Cricetulus griseus: one gene and its partners. The protein of the gene in region 3 interacts with the protein of the main gene of each other region in a pairwise test. Links are inferred from orthologs where the notes say so. Each region holds a gene or a part of one and is shown on either strand. Other genes may lie near its edges.

What was found. The genes of interacting proteins can lie anywhere in the genome.
Region 1: the proteins of Itsn1 (region 3) and disks large-associated protein 1 interact in a two-hybrid assay, tested with the Homo sapiens proteins (2 studies listed by BioGRID and IntAct). The link is inferred for Cricetulus griseus from reciprocal best matches to the Homo sapiens genes ITSN1 and DLGAP1.
Region 2: the proteins of Itsn1 (region 3) and Wbp11 interact in a two-hybrid assay, tested with the Homo sapiens proteins (2 studies listed by BioGRID and IntAct). The link is inferred for Cricetulus griseus from reciprocal best matches to the Homo sapiens genes ITSN1 and WBP11.

What each region holds. Positions count from the first base shown.
Region 1 is NC_048595.1:459,282,167-459,289,764, reverse strand, and holds part of disks large-associated protein 1, read right to left. Parts: intron 2,148-7,598; coding exon 1,726-2,147; intron 1-1,725. UniProt on the Homo sapiens protein: Part of the postsynaptic scaffold in neuronal cells.
Region 2 is NC_048601.1:12,200,907-12,208,504, reverse strand, and holds part of Wbp11 (WW domain-binding protein 11), read right to left. Parts: intron 5,945-7,598; 5' UTR 5,888-5,944; coding exon 5,824-5,887; intron 5,311-5,823; coding exon 5,279-5,310; intron 4,171-5,278; coding exon 4,077-4,170; intron 3,148-4,076; coding exon 2,951-3,147; intron 2,166-2,950; coding exon 2,032-2,165; intron 1,839-2,031; coding exon 1,639-1,838; intron 1,177-1,638; coding exon 985-1,176; intron 1-984. UniProt on the Homo sapiens protein: Activates pre-mRNA splicing. May inhibit PP1 phosphatase activity.
Region 3 is NC_048597.1:5,923,344-5,930,941, reverse strand, and holds part of Itsn1 (intersectin-1), read left to right. Parts: intron 1-413; coding exon 414-573; intron 574-3,273; coding exon 3,274-3,479; intron 3,480-4,057; coding exon 4,058-4,140; intron 4,141-7,598. UniProt on the Homo sapiens protein: Adapter protein that provides a link between the endocytic membrane traffic and the actin assembly machinery. Acts as a guanine nucleotide exchange factor (GEF) for CDC42, and thereby stimulates actin nucleation mediated by WASL and the ARP2/3 complex.

The DNA.
Region 1 (7,598 bases), on a different chromosome or scaffold from region 3:
CAGGAGTCAGAGGCAGGTGGCTCACTGATCATTATAAGCTTGAGGACAGCCTGGTCTACATAAAAGTTCCAGGCCAGCCAGAGCTATGAGGTGAGACCCTGTCTCAAAAAGGAAAACAAAACAACAAAATAAACTGGTCAGCTAGCCCTGCATGGTGGTGCATGCCTATAATTCCAGAACTTGGGGGACTGACACACATCTATAACCCCAGCACTTGGGAGGTGCAAGTAGGAAGATTGAAAAGTACAAAGTTATCTTTTGCTTCTGAGCTCCAGGCTAGCCTGGGTTATGTAAGACCCTGTCTCAAAAAACAAACAGGACCCCAGACTGATAGCTGGGAAACCAACATAGGACTGTTCCAGACTCCCTGAGCAAGGATGTCAGTTTGGAGGTCTGGACAATCTATGGGGCCTCTGGTAGTGGATCAGTATTTATCCCTAGTATACGAATGGACTTTTGGAGCCCTCTGCACATAGAGGGATACTCTCAGCCTAGACACATGGGGGAGGGTCTAGACCCTGCTCCAAATGATATGACAGACTTTGAAGATTCCCCCATGGAAGGCTTCACCCTTCCTGGGAGCAGAAAGGGGTTAGGATAGGGGGTGGGGGGTTGGGGGGGGGAGAACTGGGATTCACATATAAAAGAAGTTTGTTTCTAATTTTAAAAAAGGGGAAAAAAGAACCAAACAGGCTGAAAGATGCAATAAGCAGGGTTTCTATTGGCCTATACACTTGTTATTTTAATATTACATGTTAATAAGACTAATAAAACTATAAAGATTATAATACCCAACACACACACACACACACACACACACACACATTGTGATGGTTATTAGTGTTATCAACCTGACAAATCTGAAATCACCATGGAGGGAGCCTCAATTAAGAAAATGCCTCAGTAAGAATGGGCTGTGGGCAGGCCTGTAGGGCATTTTCTTAGTTAGTGATTGTGGGGGAGGGCCCAGCCCATTGTGGGTGGGGCCATCCCTGGGCTGGTGGTCCTGGGTTCTATAAGAAAGCAGGCTGAGCAGGCCATGAGGAGCAAGTCAGTAAGCAGTACCCTCCATGGCCTCTGCATCAGCTCGTGCCTCCAGGTTCCTGTCCTGTTTGAGTTCTTGTCCTGACTTCCTTCAATGATGAACAGTGATGTGGAAGTGTAGGCCAAATAAAACCTTTCCTCACCAACTTGCTTTTGTTCATGGTGTTTCATCATATTTGATTTTTTCAAGATAGGGTTTCTCTGTACTGCTCTGGCTGTCCTGGAACTCCGTCTGTAGACCAGGATGGCCTTGAACTCACAGAAATCCACCTGCCTCTGCCTCCCGAGTGCTGGGGTTAAAGGTGTGCGCCACCACTGCCCAGCTAGTTAGAATTGGGATCAGACGCATTTCAAGATCCTGTTGGGGGAAGTGTGGATTCTGGGAGACACTGAGACCACTGCCATGCTGATCTTGAATGTGTTTCATAGCAGGAAAGGAAAGCTACAGGTCTTAGAGCCGGAGGGTGTGGCATCGGCTCGGTGGCTTTCTCTCTTATCGTGCAGTATACCAGTTTCTGGTGTTTCAGTGGAATTGCCCAGCTCTTCCAGGAGTTTGAGTTTGGTGCGTGAAACAGAAGGTTTCACAGGCTGAGCTGGCAGAAATGCAAACCGGAAAGCCTAGGAACACAAACCCGCACGGCCCACACCACAGTCACAGACACGAGTGACGGCGCTACTTACTGTCCTCGGGGAGGTTGTTTTCCCGTTCTTCTCTCTCCATCTGCTGGCACCAGCCTTCCATGCGGTCTCTCTCTGCCTGGAGAAGCTTCAGGAACCAGTGGCCATCCCGGTGGCACACGGACCTTTGAACGGCCTCCAGAGGATCTTCTGTGATTGAGTCAATCCAGGGGTCCGGGGGAGGCAGGATGGAGGGGTCAAAATCCGTGTCAAAGTCATCATCGGCTGCGCAGGCATGGTAATGGTTCCCTGAACCCTGGATGCTGACGGTGGACGTGCTGGCGTCCCGGGAGAACTGTCTGGCCATCGGGCCGGGACACGAATTGTCCTCTATAGATTCCAGGGAATTTTCCAGATTATCATGGAAGTCCAGGTCAGCCTGCACTGCGGTGGTCACACTGTTGGACCGAGTGAACCTGCGGAAGCTTTGGAAGAAAAAAAAAAGAGATTTAGTTCCGGGATATTTACCGAAGTATAACTACTTCCTGTTTGTTTCGGTGGATTCTGACAAAGGGGTATTGTCGCATCTTCCCAGTATTTGGAAGAGCAGTTGGCGGTGGCCTTTGAGGTGAATATGCTGGTTGCCACAGATCTGAATCTTTGCTATATGGAATAATAAAACATATGTAGGGTGATTTCACAGGTGGGACAAAATGTAAGCTACTGAAGTCACTATGATGTCCAGCATCGGATTTCTTCCCCCGATCTGGGGCAGCTTTCAAGCGGCTACTGGAGAAGCAAAATATTTCAGTTAGATTTTTATGTAATTTGCTTAGAGATAGGGAGAAGAATGCAACCTAGGCTTGATGAAGACTATCTTAATTCCTGCATTTCCCCCAGAGACACCTAGTGGGAAAGAGATTTCCTAAACATTTGTTAGTTTTCCCTTAAAATTAAAACCTTTTTGCTTGGTAAGCGTTCACCTGGCAATCCTGTAGGTCCACATAATAACATGGTTCAAAGCCTTTGGGATAAAGACCAACTTACAGTTCTAGAGTTCTCCATGACTACCCTCCCCTGTACCTTTGCTTTGCTTTTCCACAATTATTTCTCCAAGGTGGCGAAAGACTGCTTATTAACAGGTTCAGTTTGGGCATCTCTCTCTCTCTCTCTCTCTCTCTCTCTCTCTCTCTCTCTCTCTCTCTTGTTTTGAGACAGGATTTCTTTGTAGATCCTTGGCCATCCTGGAACTAGCTCTGCAGACCAGGTTGGCCTGGAACTCACAGAGGTCTGTCTGTCTCTGCCTCCCGAGTGCTGGGATTAAAGGTGTGTGCCACTACCACCCCTGGCTAGTTTGGGCATTTTTATAAGGATATTCATGGGAACAACTTTTGTTTCTTTGATCAAATAGTTCTGTGTATTTCTTGCTTACTCTTACAATGAAAGTGAGGACCGTGGTCTGTCACAGGGTTGTGATGGATTCAAGTATTTCTCTATACCCCATCAACAGTCTTTTCTATAGTTGGTGTGTGTGTGTGTGTGTGTGTGTTTGTATGTATGTGTGGTATATGTGTGGGAGCATACATCTGTGCATATATATACACAAGAGTCTGGAGCAGTTCTTAACCTGTGAATTTGACCTTTTGGGAGGTATAGCCACCCTTTCACAGGGGTCACATATCAGATATTTACATTATGGTTCCTAACAGTAGTTAGGGAGTAGCAGCAAGAATCATTTTATGGTTGGGATTGGGTGGTCACCACAACATGAGGAACAGAATTAAAGGGTTGTAGCATTGGGAAGGGTGAGAACCACTGGTCTAAGGGAAGACATTAGGTATTCTATTACTTTCCACCTTATGTCCTTGAGACAGGGTCTCATTGAACCTGGAGTCTGTCTGATGGCCAGAAGGACCCAGCGAGCCTCTTGCTTCTGTCCCCCCCCCCCACCACCAGTGCTGGGGTTACAGCAGACATGTGGACACTGGGGACTTGAACTCAACTCCTCAAGCTTAAGCAGCAAACATTTTTTTTTCCTTTTTTTTTCCCTTCCTTCCTGAGAGAGGGTTACTTTGTGTAGCCCTGGCTGTCCTATAACTCACTCTGTAGACCAGGCTGCCCTTGAACTCAGAGATCCACCTGTTTGTGTCTCCTGAGTGCTAGGATTAAAAGGATGCACTACCACCGCTTGACAGCAAACATTTAAAAAAAATATTATTTATTTTTATTTTATATGTGTGAGAGCTTTTCCTGCATATGTATGTGTACTGCGTACATGCGTGCTGCCCTCAGAAGATAGGAGAGGGTGTTGAATCCCCTGGAACTGGAGTTCAGATGATTGTGAGCCACCATGTGGGTACTGGGAGTCAAACTTGAGTCCTCTGTGAGGACAGCCAGTGCTCTTAACCACTGAAATATCCTCTCTCCAGTGCCTTAGTGGGTCTTATTTTTGTTGTTTGTTTGTTTTTCCTGAAATGAAGCCACTGTAATGATCTCGATGTGGTCCGTTTCTTTGGGTAGCTCATAACTAGACTGCTTTGAGACTTTGTCTGCCAGTTGATTTCCAATGAATGCTTCATATTCAATAGCACCAACCTAAAAGGGTTGTGCATTAAGCAAAGTCTGTGCAGCTTTAAATAGCTCAGACTTTCACAGTTCTCCTGGGTTACCCTGTGCAAGCCAATTAAAACTAAAGCTTGTAGTCCATCAAAACAAAGAAAGGCCCAAATAACACGGAGAAGCAGTCATGGTGAACAAGTTAAATCAAGTAATCTTAAAAAAAAAAAAAAATCCATGTTTTCCTTCAAGAATATACATCATAGAGATGTCTGGTGGACTGGTCTGTGTTGATTATTAAGATTAAAAACAGGCACCAGGCATTGGTGGCGCTTGCCTTTAATCCCAACACTCGGGAGGCAAAGGCAAGCAGATCTCTGTGAGTTCGAGGCCAGCCTGGTCTACAGAGCGAGTGCCAGGATAGGCTCCAAAGCTACACAGAGAAACCCTGTCTCGAAAAACAAACAAACAAACAAACAAACAAAACCAACAAAGATTAAAGACAGGCAGAGCAGTGGTAGTGCACACCTTTGAGCCAGCACTTGCGAGGCAGAGGCAGGTGGATCTCTGTGCGTTCAAAGCCAGCCTGGTCTATAGGGTGAGTTCCAGGACAGCCAGGACTACACAAAGAAACTGTCTCAAAACAAGCAAACAAAACAAAAAAACAAAAACAACAAAAGGAATAAAGGCAGTCACCTGTGTACCTTTAAGTCCAGCACTTGGGAGGCAAAGTCATTCATATCTCGATCCAGGCCACTTACTTTAGTTCATCTGATCACTTACGCTTTTAAGAACCTGCCTGTAGCCCTGCATGGTAGCACATGCTTTTTAATCCCACTGCTTGGATGTACACTCGTCTATGCAGAGAGCTCCAGAACTGCCAGAGCTATACAGGGAGACACTTTCTCAAACCACCCCGCCTCTACCACAGGCACACACAAAGAAAAGGAATTGTATTTGTTGACATGATTAGTTCTGGTTACTTCTGGAAACTGTTAATACTGCAAAGAGCTAAGCCTGGCGTTGGTGGCTCACGCCTTTAATCCCAGCACTCGGGAGGCAGAGGCAGGCGGATCTCTATGAGTTCGAGGCCAGCCTGGTCTCCAGAGCGAGTGCCAGGATAGGCTCCAAAGCCACACAGAGAAACCCTGTCTCGAAAAACCAAAAAAAAAAAAAAAAAAAAAAAAAAAAAAAATTACTGCAAAGAGCTAAAGTGTGTATGTGTGTGTATGGGGGGTATATGTGTAGTGTGTGTGTGTGTGTGTAAGACACAGAGACAGAAGAGAATGGGGAGTGGTGTGTGGTGTGCAAGTTTGAAAGCCATGTTAAGAAGTCTCTTTGTTTTAACAAGGAAGGGCAGAAATCGGGTAAAATGTCCCTTCCAGCAACCACTTCTTGGCTGTTTCTGTTTTTCTTCCACGCTGTCCCTAAATGCTAAATGTCACTTCATGATGTTGGGCTTTCTCTCCCGCTGCCTGTGTGTGACTTGGAAGGTATTCATCACCACAGCTGACATTTTGGCTGTTCTGCTAACACAGAACTGGAAACTGCAGAGATGCTTAGGCTTCTTTGCCCCAAGATCTCTGATTGCCAGGGGATCGAATTTCCAAATTTACCAGTCCATTTGTGTTCCAGCAGCTCACACCCAAAGCCCAGGAAGAATCTGCTCCCTAGAGAAAATGGTGCTGACTTTCCCCCATTTTCAGCCACACAAAACTGTCCTACCAGCATTCCCGAGAGCCGTGTCTTGGGTGTGGATTGGGCAACCTATCCACCTTTTTAAGAAAAGTTACTTGGCAGTAGATTAATAGAAGTTTGCAGCTTAGCCACCCAGAAAGAAATAAAAGTCAAGCAAAAAGAAAAATGGTTTGGGATTAAAAGCAAGGCTTTGAACTCCGGCAACCCTGCACAAGCTGTGCCTTCTCCTGCCCCCCAAGTCCTGAAAGCAATGCTTCCTTCACCAGAGCTTTCAAAGGACGCTCAGCACCACAAAACTGCTGTCTTTCCAGCGCAGAGGCCCTTGTGGGTGAAGGGCGTGAGCAAATTGTGACCGTTTCTAAGTTGCTGATGGGAACATAAAGAAGGGTCACTGAGATTAATCTCTGTGAATGGGGTAACCCCAAAGCTGGGCCTGATCTAGCTGCCCCCAAACCCACACTTCAGGTTTTGAAGCACTTCCTGCCTGCCTGCCTGCCTGCCTGCCTGCCTGCCTGCCTGCCTGCCTGCCTGCCTGCCTGCCTGCCCTGCAGGCGCAGTGTGTAATGATTTCACTTCTGAACAAGGCCAGGATGCAGAGAACCAGTGATGAAAGACTGGATCAGCGGTGCAGAGGACAAAGCCCTGTGTGTTCTGAATAGTGAGAGACAAGTCACTGACTAGCAGCCCCAGCTGTGGCCCTTGTGCCAGTGAAACAAGCGGGTGTTCATGACTAAAGGAGACTCTACACCATTGCCACAATGTTTCTATATGGAACAGGCTACAAACGAACATACAGGTTCTTGGGAGTCACAGCTAATACAATTGTCATCTTCAGAGTGTGTTTGTGTAAGGGCTGGAGTTTGAACCCAGGGCCACACACATGCGTACGTTCTGTGTTAATGGGTTGGCCCTGCCTGGCATTCAACTAGTGACATTCAAGCCTTGTGAGATTTTAGGGAGGTAATTCAGTTATTCCACTGCAGAGCACCCAGCATCTGGTCACCCTCTTCATCCCTCTGTTTGTGTAACAGCTGCTTTCAGAACCAAATCTGGCCACGAGTTGGAAGTGTGAATCTTAGGCTGGTCTTCTTAGGAGCCCTCAGCCTTTCCCGCCAAGCTTCTGTCAAGGCTTGTTTGTGGGACACCTGAAAATGTTTTCCTCAGTGCGACGCCCATCTTGGTGCTTGGTGAACCAGGCACCATTTCTGCCCAAGACCCAACATATAATTCATTACACAAAAATAAAAGTCAAAATAAAGGGGCGGGAGGTCGCAACTCCTCTAAAAATGTACTCTTCAGTCAGAGCTTCCCAGCGGAAACTGAGCAGAAAACATCCCTGATGTAGCCCTGGCTCAGAGAACTCCCCAGCCACCTCGTGAACAGAGCCTCTGCTGTTCTGTCTAGCCTGCAGAGCTGCTCACAGGAAGCACCCGTTGCTCATCTGAACTCCGTGGATAGCATTCTTTTGTCCAGAGATCTCTTTAAGACGAAGAAAAAGGAGCGGGTTTCCAACATGAAAGCTCGCCCCACGCCGGCTATGGGAGATGCATTGGCAGACAAAGGCGGAGGATGGGAAGTTAAGGACCGTGGGTTAGGTAACACCCAACGGCTTTTGAGAGGACCCACGTATTGCTGGTCTTCTTTTAGGATGAGCTGGGAGGTTGCTAATATCCCTGATGGCA
Region 2 (7,598 bases), on a different chromosome or scaffold from region 3:
GAAAATACTGGTGCCACCATCTTTATTCCAGCGCTCAGCAGGAGAGCTTAGTGATTTTGAGGCCAGCCTGGTTTAGCGAGTTCTCTGCTAGCCAGCTAGTGAGACCCTGGCCCCTCCCCACCCACAAAACCCCAACAGCAGCTGGCAGCAGAAGAGGAGAGAAACCATGTAGCCTCTCAGGAAAAAGCAGTCCATGGGGCTCTAGCTTCTCTCTCCTTTATAAGATCAGTTCCTACTGAAGAGTCTTCTATATTTTATAACACCAGGCTCATCCTGTCACTATTTGTGATAGATTTTTTTGATATTTGTAATTATGATTAAGAAACACTAGGAAAGGGATAGAGATGGCTCAATGTTAAGAGCCACTGTGCAATCCTGAGGGGACTGGAAAATCTAGCTCCCAGAGATCTAATGTCATCTTCTGGCCTCCTGGAGCGCCCTGACACATTCATCTGCACACCCACTTAACTCTCACAAATATTTGTAAGAATAATGTATCAAAACTTTTCAAACTATCAAGACAAATGGCCAGGCATGGTGGCTTATATTTGCAATTCCCAAATGTGGGAGGGTGAAGCAGAGGACCACCACAAGTTTGAGGCCAGCTTAAGTAACAGTGACACTTGTCTCAAAACCAAACCAAACCAAACCAAACCAAACTGGGCTTAAAGCTGGTCTTGACTGGCTCAGGTGGATAAGGGTACTTGTCATCAAACAAACTGATATAGTGGACTGAGAGAACCAACTGTGACCTCCATGTATGTGCCCTGGCATACGCACATACACTCTCGGACACACACACACGTGTGCGCGTGCGCACGCGCACACACACACACACACACACACACACACACACACACACACACACACACACACAAATATAAACCACATAGACACCACCTCAAATTACAAACCAAAGGAGCTGGCCATGACTGTGACTCTGTACTGGGCTTATCTGTGTGCTGATCTCACCATGGCACATACCTGACTTCTTCTCCTCAGGGTTATCGCGCTCACTGTCCTCACGGTGCCCAAACTCATCCCCCTCGCTCTCTGCATCAGATCTGTCACTGTCGCTGTCATCAGTGCTGTCATCGTGCTTGTCCTGGTCCATGTCCTCAGGGTAGCCATCGTCTTCGCTGGTACTGGACACGTCATCGTCATGACCTCGCTGAGCTGATGACAAAGACAACAAGTATGATTGTCCTTCAAAGTACCCAGAAATACAAAATTATGCTATTTTTAACTTTATAACATGTAAAATTCTGTATGCAATGTCAGCTGTCATGTACTGTGATATTTTTATTGGGTACTTGTTTTAAATACTTTTGTTTTCTTGTAAGAAGTTCAAACACATCATATTAGAAGCAATTATTTCTGTGTATAGTCACATGCACTGTCAGTAACTCTAGCCAGTTGAAAATAAGCAATTCAATCCAGTCTTAGGGATCTGTAGTGACATCTGTATGCAACAGGCTCTCACCAGGCAGCTCTGGTGGATTACCCCTGGGAACACACAGCAGTAAGTACATGGTGTCCTCACTCCCTTGTGTTCTCATTGTGGTGAACATGCTAAGTATGTTTAACATAGAAACAATCTCAAGAAGGACAAAAGGAAAAGACCCTGCCCCTTCATACCAAGTTCTGGACTATACAGCATGTCTTCATCTCGTCTACGAGGGGGAAGATCTAGAGCAAAACCCACTTTACGGCCATACATCTGCAGAACCTGAGGAGGAGGTGGGCCAGGTGGAGGGCCCGGTGGTTTTCTGCCAGGGGGCAAACGTGGAACACCATGTCCGAGGAGCGGAAGGATAGAAACTGCCCGAGTTGGCGGCCTGTAAAGAGAACTTGATCATGTTATCTATGCCTACAGTGGCGGTGAGAACGTCTAATTCCCTGTACAATTGCAATGCTCCCACTCCACATTTCATTGCTCTCACACTAATGACACCCGCACAGCCTTGCATGTCTCCCTGTACTGGCTGTGGCACCTCAGTCAAAAGCTGCCGTCACGACAGGCTTCCTTACCCATACGCAGAGGTTTTCTTAAGGATGGAGGGTGGCTGGGCACCAGGAAGCGGAATGTCCTGGATCAAGATGTTGGAAGGAGCGTGCGGCATGTCTGGCAGAGGGATGCTGTCCACTTCAACATGCTGAGCATTCTGCAACACAGAGACCCAGCCAGCTGTGCAGCACCCATCCAAACCCAGCCCCAAGAACCCGACATCCTCAATTTGTTTTCCAACTAACACAAAGATCATGAGAAATCACCTCAAGCCAAAACTGCCCAGGGAACGAAAGAAATCTATCATTTCTTCTTAAAGAATCCAAATATAGCTTATTCTTTCAAAATCCCTATAACCAGTATGATTTGAAAAAGCTTCGGTTTTAAAGAAATCCAACCGTGGCAGGGCTACTGCAACACTCTGCTCAGCAACACACATCTGTTGACAAAGAGTACCCAGTCTCTAAAATTCATGAACCTTTCTTGGGATTCTGTCTTGTATTGTTGGAAACATGCCATCTACTTCACCAAAATCATTCCATTTGGGGTTTTGATTTTCTGCCCCAGTAAAGAAAAATTTGTAATAAACTATAAAAGCTCACACAAGTGGGTATATCCTACTCCTCAACCGACTTCTGACACCTTGCAGTCAGCCAGTGTTAACAGACCTGTTTTTGCCCATTTTGGAAGTATAAGCACATGGAATATTAACGGAAAGAAGCAACACCGGCTGGGGCCTCATCCATGTTCTTTTATAGTCTCCAATCCCAGGCAAGGATTAAAGGTGTGCATCACCATGGCTGGCTCACACTGTTACTAATTTTCATCATGTGTTGTTTCTCTTTATTATCAATGGATTACTATACAAATACTTTCTGCTAGAGCATAAGGTGCACACTTAATCTAAAAACACATCTGGTCCTCTCCCAAGAGCAGCTTTACCTTAACAGCATCAAAATACTGGCTCAGTTGAGCCCTCTTCTGTTCATATTCTACTTCTAGCTTTCTCAATTCTTTGTAAATATCTGGATTTTCTTTTTCATAAAGTCGTAGAATTCGTTCAAAGGTTTCCCGCAGCTTTTTACGCTTGTCTTTCAGGACTTTCTCATTTAACTGTGGTTGTTGCACTGGGTTAAACTCTGGGAGAAAAGCAGATTATAGAACTGTAAACAAAGAGCTACTTCATCAATAACAAACTAGTTCCAGATACCACCATTTTATTTTTGAGTCCTCTGTGCTCAGGGGGATAGACCACCAGGCAATCGCATCTTCCTTCGGAACTCCCAGGCTAGCGTGCTATCTCCTGAGTTGCATTCCTAGCCCTCCCTGGGACTGGAAATGAAAGAGCAGCTTTCCCACTATCTGCGTGATGTTATGGCCTTGTCTCCTGGCTACCGCTATCCGCACACACGTGTTCCACTTTCCACCCCATGCAGCTGTTCACTAGAGCTGTGCAGGAGAGCAAGCAGACACAACAGTCCTCTGGAGACTCTCTGGGCTTCCTCCTAGAGACAGCTTTCTAGGGCTGTCTCAGTTATGGAAGCCAAGGCACACCTTTCTATTTTAATTAGTTCAGATTTTTATAAATGGAACTAGGGCCCCGATGATTAAGACATTTTCTCCTTTTTCTTCAAGTACCAGTTCAATTAAATTCTTTCCCTAAATCTTCCTATAACTTGATGATTTACTCAAATCTAGAAGATATATTATTGCACTACTCCTACTGACTAAGAATTTGAGTGCATGTCCTTTTTTATTCTGCTAACTTATTACGGCAAAGGGAAAATATAATTAAATCTGAACAATTATAAAGTGAGCTGGCCAGACTCGGCCTTTGTTGCCTAATAACATTAAGTAATCCCAACTGAATGATGGCTTCTCTCTTCTAGGACATGTGATCTCCAGCTTGCAATGGATCTTATCTCTTCACTTTATTTCCAAAACATTACAACAAAATGTCGTGTCCTATGCCATCAGGTTGCTCGGTTTTCTTAGGCCTATGCTGCTTGCCATTGGGGACCACACTATTATAGCTGTTAATAAATCTGGCCTTTTCATATACTCTTACCCATTTCATCCAATTTCTCCATGTCCCGGATAATCTGTTTGGGATCTTTCATCTTCAAAACCGCAGCTCGGACCATCATTCGTTGTTTTTTGTTCTTAGAAAAACAAAAGAGAAGACTACTAAGAGGCTGGATGCTCAGGACATTATTACTTCAATTTGCCTCAAGAATCTAAATCATTTCACATTTTCCTTTGGTTTCAAATCATGTTTAAACCACCAGGAACAGTTATGAGATTTCTTGTTCTCAACAATGTGTGGACATTGCTAAAAAGGTATGCTTTCACAGAAAGTATTTCTTTCAACCCAGTTAGACTGTTAGCAACTACCACAGGAACAACTTTTTTAAAAACAAAAAACAAAGGGCTGCTGTTAAATTAAAAAAAAAAAAAATACAATGCTGGATAGGGATATTTTTGAAAGACTCGAGAGCATACCAGAGATTATAAAAGCCCTGAATGCATTGAAGAGTGATACCAAATGTTTACCCCTCTAATTACTCTGTCAAAATTCAATAGCTAATTAGATACACAAAGATATCCACCAACACATTTATTGGCATTCATTCAATAGCTTTTAACAAAGCAGCTACATTTTGGTACATGGTAAAAATAATTACTTTCTCAAGACAGGGTCTGATGTAGCCCAGGCTGGCCTTGAACTCCTGATACTCTTGTCTCTGATCTCCACATCCCAAGTGCTGAGATTACAGGAGTGTGCTACCACAATCATCTTAAGAATTATTTCTAAAAGGCATTTTTAAATATAATTTTATATATGGGCGTGTTTGTGTGAATGTGTAGGCATGTGCTTATGAGTTCTTGTGGAGATCAGAATAGGGTGTTGGATTCCTGGGAGATGGAGGAACAGATGGCTGTGAGCCACCCAACATGGATGCCGGGGATGGAACTCTCAGATCCTCTGCAAGAGCAGTACGTGAAGCTATCCACTGAGCCATTACTCCGGCCCCCAACGAATTCTTTTTTTTTTTTTTTTAAACTTATGAGGCAGGAGAATTACATAAACAGTGTCAAACAAGCACTATGAATGGAATGTCCAAAGTTTTATCAGTCATATCAGTTTTTAAACATAGTAAACTGTCTGGTTTTCATGAGAAGTATAAAGCATCTTTTCTAGCATATAATTTACATGTTATTATCATTCATGAATCTCAATCAATATACAGAATGTGTCTGAATTCATACCTTCTTCAATTCTCTTTTCCGGGCTTCCTTTCCTAAAGAGAGGGAAAGAGACCATATACCTCAAATCTTCAACATTAACATTACCACAAGACAGCACACACTTTTTTCTTCTGAGGCTCCCCTATGCAACACCTGGATATGCACTGGCATCGGTGGCTTCGACCTGCAGACAACTGCACAACTGCAGCACTTCTAACCCTAAGAACTCCAGATGCTAAAATGTTTCTTTTCACAGAAATAACTGAACCAATGAGAAAAAGAGATTCTCAAATACCAAACTAGCGCTTAAAACTCATTTGTTTAAAAATTCCAACACAAAAAGAAAAACAATCCAATTTTATCCTGCAAGCCAACAAAGCTTGACAAGAACATGGTTTTAACTGATGTACACTCTCAACATTTTAGTCATGTGAGTTAATTTTAAGAATTCAACATGACTTCACACAACTCCCTTCTACCAATGCTGAACTTGCTTAAGCCTCGGGGAAATATTCTTTGCAGTTTTTAACTCTTCAACGTCATCATTTCACACTAATGGCACTTACGAGCTTGGTCTGTGGGGTTCATAAACTTCCCACTCTTGGTGGAGGATGTTGATCTCCGTCCCATGTTGACAATTTATATGATTTACTTCTTCATTAAAGAAACAAAACAAAAAAACGAAACCTGGAAAAAGAAAAGAACTCAGTTTTCCTGTATGTTTAACATGTCTTCCTTTTTAGAATTCCCATCAATTTCTGGAAATACCCCTCTGATTATTAATTTTGTAAGAACTTGTTCTTTGCCGGACGTTGGTGGCACATGCCTTTAATCCCAGCACTTGAGAGGCAGAGGCAGGTGGATCTCTGTGAGTTCGAAGCCAGCTTGGTTTCCAGAGCAAAGGCCAGGATAGGCTCCAAAGCTACACAGAGAAACCTTGTCTCGAAAAAAAACAAACAAACAAAAAACAAAACAAAACAAAAAAAGAACTTGCTCTTTAATTTTGAACATATAATATGGCTTTACCTTTCTTCATCACAGAAAAGCTAACATCTGTACAGTCAAGGCAACGAGACACATGAACTCTCCACATTTAACACTCTGCTATGGATTATGTAGCACTGTCAACTGAAAAAAAATTCAACTAGGAGTTTGCACTTGGAATGTGGACTGGGCCATAAAAGACTATCTCAAAACAAAACCCAACTAGAAAATGTTTTAATAATGTGATACAAACCTGGAGTGTAAGAAGTCAACAGTTCATTTCCTACACCCTTCCCCCTTTATATATAAGGTGAAGTCAAAGAGAAGTAGTGATAATGACTCTAGGCTCAAAGACAAATATATGTTCTCTACTTTTCTCCTTGGCATAGGCACTGTTCATTCAAAACCCCACAGATGGTAAAAGGTAATTAATTTAAACATACTTAATTTAGACTCAATACCAAGTCAAATATGACTCATGACTTTCAAGCAAAAAAAAAATGAATAGAACTTCCCAATCTTAATATTAACATACATACTTTTCTTACTAACACATATGACTCTTGATTTATTTTAAGGTAACTAAAAGTGGCAGGTCACTGTAGGAAAATAATTTCAAAGCTTGTATTAGTATCAGTTCTTCTATTCAAAATGGATGAATGTTAACTTTAAAATTTAACCTTTCCAATAATACAGTAAAGAAATGTTAGCCGTTGAAACGATGTGACATTTGGCTACAGGTATTCCCCCTTTGCACACCCAACCAGTCGACTTTCTTTCTTAAAAAAGACACCTTTGAAGGTAGGGAATAGGTAGATCCCGAGACAACTTTAACAGACTCCCACAATTGTAATTCCCTTGGCTCCTCTGTGAAGACTTCGTAGGGTTTTTTTTCTGTTTGTTTTGTTTTGTTTTTCTTTCTAGTTAATGCTTCTCTCACCAAGGGATCAACTGCCCGGAGACTATTTCACTATAAAAACGTTTCGTTATCCGAAAAGAGGAGGGGCAGGATGATGGGGAGAGGAAGGGAAAAGAAGGGCATTGATTATAGAGAACTAGAAGAAAGGAAGAAAGGAAGGAAGGAAGAAAGCAAGCAAGCAGGCACGGATACAGACTTCTATAGCTTTCTATTTTATATATTCGGGTTCACCTTTTGACCTTTTTTTTAATTTTTCTTTGCCCCCTCCCACAACTGAAAACACGGCAGCCGCGAGCCGCTGAGAATTTTTCCGAGACCGCACGGTCTTGGTCTACAAGCGCGACTCTCGTCAGCGCAGGGGCGCCCGGGAGAGGACGGGGCCGCGGGCCCCCGACAGCGCAGGAGCCGGGGCCGCTCGCCCGCCCGCTGGCCCGCTCG
Region 3 (7,598 bases):
CTGTGGGGCACACGGAACTTGGCCGCCAAGCTGCAGTGTCTCCGGGTGCAACACTCAATTCCTTCTTACTTAGCTGCTGCTGTCATAGTCATTCTAGCACTTGTGGGTGTTTGCTGCCTACCGATCGAGGCGACCCTCACAACTAACCCAGACTGTCAGGGTGTTGTTCTAGAGAAGAACTCAAGATGAAAGAAAGAACAGTCTTCTAATCGGCCTGGGGAATGCTGCAGTGTGTGTAGCAGAGTCAAACCTGAGCCTGGCATTCTTTCTCATCCTCTTCTCAACTAGAGAAGCCCACATAAATGTCATCGATTTCTGTTCCCCCGGGGTGCCCTCCTTGTTTGTGTGGGTGTCCTGTAATGTCAGGACACTAGAAAGTGCTTACTGCTTATGACATGTGTTTTTCCTTCCAGGTGGCCCGCCAGCACAAGCGAGAAACCAGAAACGGATAACTGGGACGCATGGGCTGCTCAGCCTTCTCTCACGGTACCCAGCGCTGGCCAGTTAAGGCAGAGGTCTGCCTTTACACCAGCCACAGCCACTGGCTCCTCCCCGTCTCCCGTCCTGGGCCAGGTAGGGGCAGTTGTGGAGGGCGTGAAGACTGAGTGGTCTGCAGCTAGTGTTATTACACCAGCAGCTTCAGCAATGCAGGCTCTTGCCATGAAGCTGGGCTGGCTGGCTGGACCTAGTTCAGAAACCTGAGACTCAGTGTAAACCTCAGAGTTCAGAGGGCGTAAACTGTCCCGCCTGTGTCTAAGAAGCTTCATTGAAAAAGCAGCATCAGAGCTGCAATGATGATCGGTTAAAAAGGTACCGAACCTGCCATGAGGAGTCAGGGTGTTCATAAAGAAAACTCTGGGTCAGCCTATTTGACTACCCCTTGGTCCCTACTGAAAAAGGCAGACCAATTTCAGGTTAATGGGAGGCCCTGCTAAGGAACAGTATTTCTGAAAGTGTAGGGGTTGTTGTCATGAACCTTTCTCTTTATGTTAATGTAGTAATGATGAAGGAATGAGATTAATGAATCACACAGCAAATGCCCATCTGGGAGGCCCCAGGGGATCACAGGGGTTTTCTGTTCTGGAGATGCTTAAGTTGGAGGAGACACCGGGCAGATCCATGGGGAAATGGTTGGTATGCAAGAAGACTGGAGTTGCTGAGCGGCCGTGCTCAGCAGGGCACTTACGTGAAAGCCTAGAGCCTGCAGAGTCTCTGTGCCCAAGCCACGGAAACGGGAAGACACGGCAGGGTTGGGCAGAGGGAAAGGAGTGAGCCAGGTGAGGAAGGGAGAGAGAGTCTAGTAAGGAGGAGTTGAGTACACGGTGGTGGAATTGGGGCTGTCTGGCACACTGGCGGGACATGGCTGAGAGCAAGCGGCTGGCTGTAGCAAGCACCATGAAATCCAAGGGAGTGGACATGGCTGAGAGCAAGCGGCTGGGGCGAGGGAGGACGCTGCACGGTGTTCCTTTGTTTCTACCTACACTCAGCACCGAAGCGTATCCCATCGGTGCTCAGCCACCCAGGAGGTGCTGTGGGTGAGGCGTGAGTAAAACTGTGTAGGCAAGGGTGAGCTCTAGAACTCGGGAGGACAGAGGTGGTCGTGCTATCAGAGAGCACTCAGGACGGAGAAGAGGCCATCATGGATAGCGAGAGTCAACCTCTTGGTGACTGAGGAAAGGGAAAGTCATGCAGCGTGCAAGCGTGCTGTGAGGAAGGAGGAAGTTGAGCCACGAGAACTCTGCTGGTTTGTGAGGAGTGGAGCAGCGCGTCAGTCAGCGTAAGTGAGGGGCCTGTGCATTGAGCGGCCTGCAGTGACCAGGACAGGGAAAAGCAGGGGTTCCCTGGAAACCAAAGTCACCACTGGCCGCAGCACTGCCCAGCTCAGGACCAGGGACTGTGGTACTACAGCCTCGTCACAGTCACAGCAAAGACGATAGCAGGTCTTTCTGAACATTGTGACAGCCTTCAGAAACTGAGGCTTGGAGAAATCCGTCATTGCCCAAGTGTCGCAGAATTAATTATTAAGTGGCAGATCTGGGATTCAGCCCCCGTGCTGAAGTCTCATCTGACCTCGGGCTGGTTCAGAACCTAACATTTAGGGAAGGAGTGTCAAGGGAGATGTCCCAGACTTTTGTAAAGGCACAGAGCAAATGGCTTCCCTTCCACTCTGGCCTGGAAGTCCTGACATAGCTGAGAGGAGTAGGCAAGGCAGAAGCACTGTGATCACTGGGCAAGTAGGAAGCGACAGGTGGAGAACACAGTGATCTTGGTGCTAAAATGAAAGAAAGTCAGAATGTTTAGGTGTAGGGAGGTAAGAATCCATGCAGAGCAAGGGTCAGAGGTCACACACACACTCACAGAAGTTTCCTGTTTCATGCAGTCAGATCTTACCGCAGAAATAAAAATCACCTCAGTCAATCGCAGACAGATCCAGACCAGCTGTCCTTGCACATGAACTTCTGCTCCTTATCCATTTATGTGGAGAATCCAAGTGGGGCTTGTTTTAGTTGTTTAAGTCGCCGCCATGATTTTTAAGTAGATAATAAGTGCCTCACCTGCCTTTGCAGCCTTGTCTCCTGCCCTGCCACTTCCTCTCCTCTCGAGGCCTTTGCCTTTGGCCTGGAGTGCCCTTCTGCAGTGCTAGCTCTCAAACCCTTCTCGTCCTTCAGGGCTCAAATGCCTCTTCCCCTGTGAAACTGTCCCTGGTGCTCCAAGGCAGGCTTTGTCCTTCTTGCCGCTCTGATCTCACGGTGAGGCAGGAGAACTTTTCTGTAGTGTGTTTCACTCCTCCAAGTGATATATTTTGCTGTTTTTCTCTCTTCCTGGTACACTAAGTTCCTATTACTAGAGGATATTCTTATAGCACTTTAATGTTAATAAAATGCCAATTCCCAACTATGTGGAGGGAGCAGAAGTGATGTTTTCCTCATCCTTATAACCCCACGATGTCCACAATCATGGGAAAAAACAAGCACAGTCCAGTGCATGGCCTGTTTTCATGTGTCCACCTAAACTGAAACACCATTCAATCCTGAAATGTCTGCCCCGTTACATCAAAGTATAAAAGATGCACAGCCAGTGCATCTGAAGAAGTAAGGCTGGGTGGGGCTCTGGGAGCGGCCGGCAGGGTTTTTAGATCTCCACATTTAAAATGAACAATTGCAGAGAAGCCACGAGGCGCCTAGCATTCCTGCCAGGCAGAGACGGTGTCTCTGTCTTGGTTGATTAAAAAACTGCAGTGTAATCACGGGTCCTTTATGTCATCCCACACAGGGTGAAAAAGTGGAGGGGCTACAAGCGCAAGCCCTGTATCCTTGGAGAGCCAAGAAAGACAACCACTTAAATTTTAACAAAAACGATGTCATCACCGTTCTGGAACAGCAAGACATGTGGTGGTTTGGAGAAGTTCAAGGTCACAAGGGTTGGTTCCCCAAGTCTTACGTGAAACTCATTTCAGGGCCCGTGAGGAAAGCTACCAGGTACTTTATTGTTATCTGCTTCTGTTTGACGGAAACAGTATTAGCAATTGTTGTCCCTGCTGGTTAGATTCACTGGTGGGAGCTGCAGGATGAAGTGTGTGTGTGAAGGGTGGAAAGGGATCCCGTTCTCCTGAGCAGCCTGTGCACTGTGTTGCCTTGTCTAAGAATCCCGCAGCTGTTGGGAATTGTGACTCTGGATGCTTAGTACCCAGTACAGTACCAAATACAAGGCATTTGGGGAATCGACTGGAAGAATGAATGAATGGCTTTCTTCATTAGTGTCTGCATGTAGCATAGAACTATTGGATTATTCCACCATGCAAAGATAGCAGAAATAGCCCACAACATCTGCTAGTCAGTGCTGAAGAGACTGCATTGAGCTTGTGTGTCCTGTGTAGTGAGTGGGCAAAGCAGACGGGTGAGCGTGGTCACGCATGCCTCCAGCACTCTCACTGTGGCCGTACCCAGCTGCTAGTGACTGCTGCAGCTTTGGTCTTCTGTAGCTTTCAAAGAGAAAAGCAATGTCATTTGGTATTCTCAGGTGAGAGTTAAAATACTCTTTTCTTCCCTTCTTACAGCATCGATACTGGCCCTACCGAAAGTCCTGCTAGCCTAAAGAGAGTGTCTTCCCCAGCAGCCAAGCCAGCCGTTCCTGGAGAAGGTGAGGACGGGGTGTGTCCGCTCTCTTTAGGAGGCTGAGCACATTACTTGGTGCAGACTGTAAATGACCATGACTGGATTCACTTTTAAATAGGCCGGATGTTTCTGTCCTGCCTAATGATGTCTGGCAGTGAGAAGCCCACTGCGTCCACCAGGGGTCAAGTTCTGAGCATGTGTCAATGACGGCCTTGCTTCCCCGTGTAGCCCTCTTGTCTTGTTTACATCCATAACTGTATTGCTTTAAAACTGATGGCACAGTCCAGTGAAGCTCTCAGAACACCACGAGTGCCTTGGGTACACCCCAGCTGAGCCACAAGATCTCTGTGCTCTGTGAATGACCAAGTCAGGTTACATAGGCTTATTACAAATAATTCATTGCTTTTTTCCCCCCTCTGACCCTTGTTATATGGCATAGTCCTAGGTATTATATGCCAGGCTGTAAAAAGAGGTATTTTAAAGTTTTACACAGTTGAGGCCTCACTGGTCTCCTCCACGCTCACCGCAGTCATTACCTGGTAGCGCTGGCCGGGGCCACCTGAGTTAAGCATCTGTGTGGCAGTGAGCAGGCTCTGCAGTTACAGATGTCGGCAGAGGTGTGTGGCAATCTTTTCACAGGTGTCTGGAGTACATCTGTGATGACAGAGTGTGCTTCATGTGCTGTGGTAAAATTGTTGTGTTCCTTAGAAACTTTGCCAGCGGAAAACAGAGTTCTCGGAATAATTGCTTCAGCAGAGGCTGCACGGATGAAGGCTTAATGCTCGTTCCAACTCCCAGGAACACTAGTCCATTCTTAAGGAGACTTTTCAAAATAATGGTTGTTTAGTTTGCAGGCATAGTTGTAAAACCCTATCGCCACTTAAAAAATTCCAAATTTTTCCACGTAACTATTACTATTTTTTATATGAATATACATATTTATTATTATATGGACTCTCCTAGGATAATCTTTACACATTCACATTTCCTTAATAATTATTTTAGCACTATTAGAACAAGGCAAAAACCTCTTTTTTGATATAACATGCTTTCAGCCTAATTAAAAACAAATTTTACCTCTTCCCCAAAACAGAACAACAGCAAAAACTCAAGTGTATTATATGTCAACAGGTCTGACTGGGGGAGAAGTCATATTCTGGCTCTGTCATAGCAATTACATGATTTCAGTCATGCCTCAACTTCATCTGTGAAGTGCACATACTAACCACCCTTTTGGGGGGAAATTATTCCAGGGATTATGAATTAAAATGTATAAAGATTTTAGAATGAAGGCCAGTAATGTCCGCTCCTTTCACTTGGCCTCGTGTCCTTGCTTACTGTATAGCTACTCAGAGCAGTGAGCGTTCTCATCAGACAGTAGTGTGGGAGGGACTGTGCCAAGACTGCAACACTCGAGATCCTAACAGGTCACAGCTGCCCCTCATTCACTCTTAAAGTTAGGCAGCAGAATAGAGATAGGTTCCGATCTGAGGTGGTGTCTGTCTGGTTTGAAATGAGTTTGGGCATTAGAAAAACCAGGAAGGATTGCTGGCCTCGTGGCAGGAGAACTTGTAGGAGGATATTGGCATTAGAAATTCTGAGAAAGGCTGTTTACAGATTAGCAAGCCTCTTATTAATAATACATTAAACATCTTATTTAAACTCTAAAGTAGATTTAAATAGATTATGCATTTGAATAGATGGAAGTGGTAGCTTGGGACCGGCCTGGGCCCCTCTTTTAAGTGCCCCCTAAAAGGGGAGCCTGCTGGGAGCCCTCTGAATTCTCTCACAGAGTCTGACTTTCCCACAAACTTGTGCAGGGTGGGGCAGGAAATGCAAGCCTCTTGGTCCTTTTGGGCCCCTTAACATTTTGCAATATTGCGCTCAGTTAGCGGTTTCATTTCCAAGTTTCTTAAACATCTTGAAGGATACTCCAACATTTTAAAGGGATTTAAAGAAGGTGATATGTATTGAATAATCCAGGAAAGGTTTAGAATGCTCAGAATCCTGTCAGAAGTGGCTGGGTGGGGGACAATGGTAAAGGGGAGCACACATGACCAGTCAGTGTCCAGAATACTGAGAAATCAAGTAACTGTAAGCACGAGAGGAGAATGCGCTGGGACCACTTCGCTCTCCAGGCGTGTTTGGTTTCTCAGCATTAACTATGGAGCTTCATGTTACCAGAATGGAGGCCCAAAGTCAGAGTCCTGTTTTCCCAAGCACATTCGGGTGACCTTCTGTCAGCTGTGGGTCTAGCAGTCAGTGCTGGCTTCAGCACAGGTCCCACTAGTCACCTGGATTTGAAGGAGACCTCTTGTAGTTAGGAATAGACGTTTAGCTCAGACTTTAGGGGTTCTGTGTACCTATGTCGGTTTTCATTAGGACAAAGCTTTTCACATTAGCCAGAGGAGGATCTAGCCAGACCATTCGGCTAGTAAAGTGCTTGCAGCCAAGCCTGACAGCCTGAGAGTGATCCCAAAGTCCATACACCTTGTCATCTGACCTCCACACACGAGCCATATACAAAATAAATGTAAAATTGGCCAGTGGAGCTCTAATGCAGAGTTCTAGCTGCTAGCCAACCTTACACTCTGCTTTGAAGGGTTTTATCTCCTGTAAGATATGTTACAATGTAACAATCCAGTCAGTCCTGAGCTTTCTACAGCAGAGTTGCAACCTGGCACTCTGCTTTGAAGGGATGTATATCATGTGAGATAAGTTTCAATGTGACAATCCAGTCTGTCCTAAGAGTAAGCTTTAAGAAAGGCTTGATGGGCTGCCGCGTTTAGTCCCAGCACTCGGGAGGTACAGGCAGGTGGATCTCTATGAGTTCGATGCCAGCCTGGTCTCCAGAGCGAGTGCCAGGATAGGCTCCAAAGCTACACAGAGAAACCCTGTCTAAAGGAAGGAAGAAAGAAAGGCAGGCTTGATGGGATATTATCTCATCTAAGATATGTTACAATGTAACAATCCAGTCTGTCCTGAGAGTAAGCTTTACAAAAGGCTTGATTTGTATTACTTTTTTTAAATGTGTAAAGGCCTAGAACAGAGCAGGGAAAAAAAACCAGAAATAAACATGTGTCTCTCTCTGTAAACCGTCTGTACTCCATGTATAGGGTTTTGTGTCCAGCGATCTTGACTATGACTTTGTCCTGAGCCTCGGGGTCAGATCAAAGCAAAGCAGAGTTCTAGAGTTACAGGGAGCTATCCCTGTGGAAGACACTCCTCTGACTGGAGTCACTAGAGAAAGAATATCAGCTCTTCCTCCTTGAGGCTATATCACATGCCTAGTAACTTCTAATAAGCTTGTTAGAGATGATTGGTTATTTTCTTGTGCTAGGGAGATGTTACTTTTGTCATTAATCCCTGTACCTGCTTGTGCAACCTGGGTGACAAGCAGATGTCCAGCCATAACCAGACGCCTACTGTTCGATTCTTAAACAGCCCCCTATCTTTTATATACATGGTACTGTATGTCTCCGG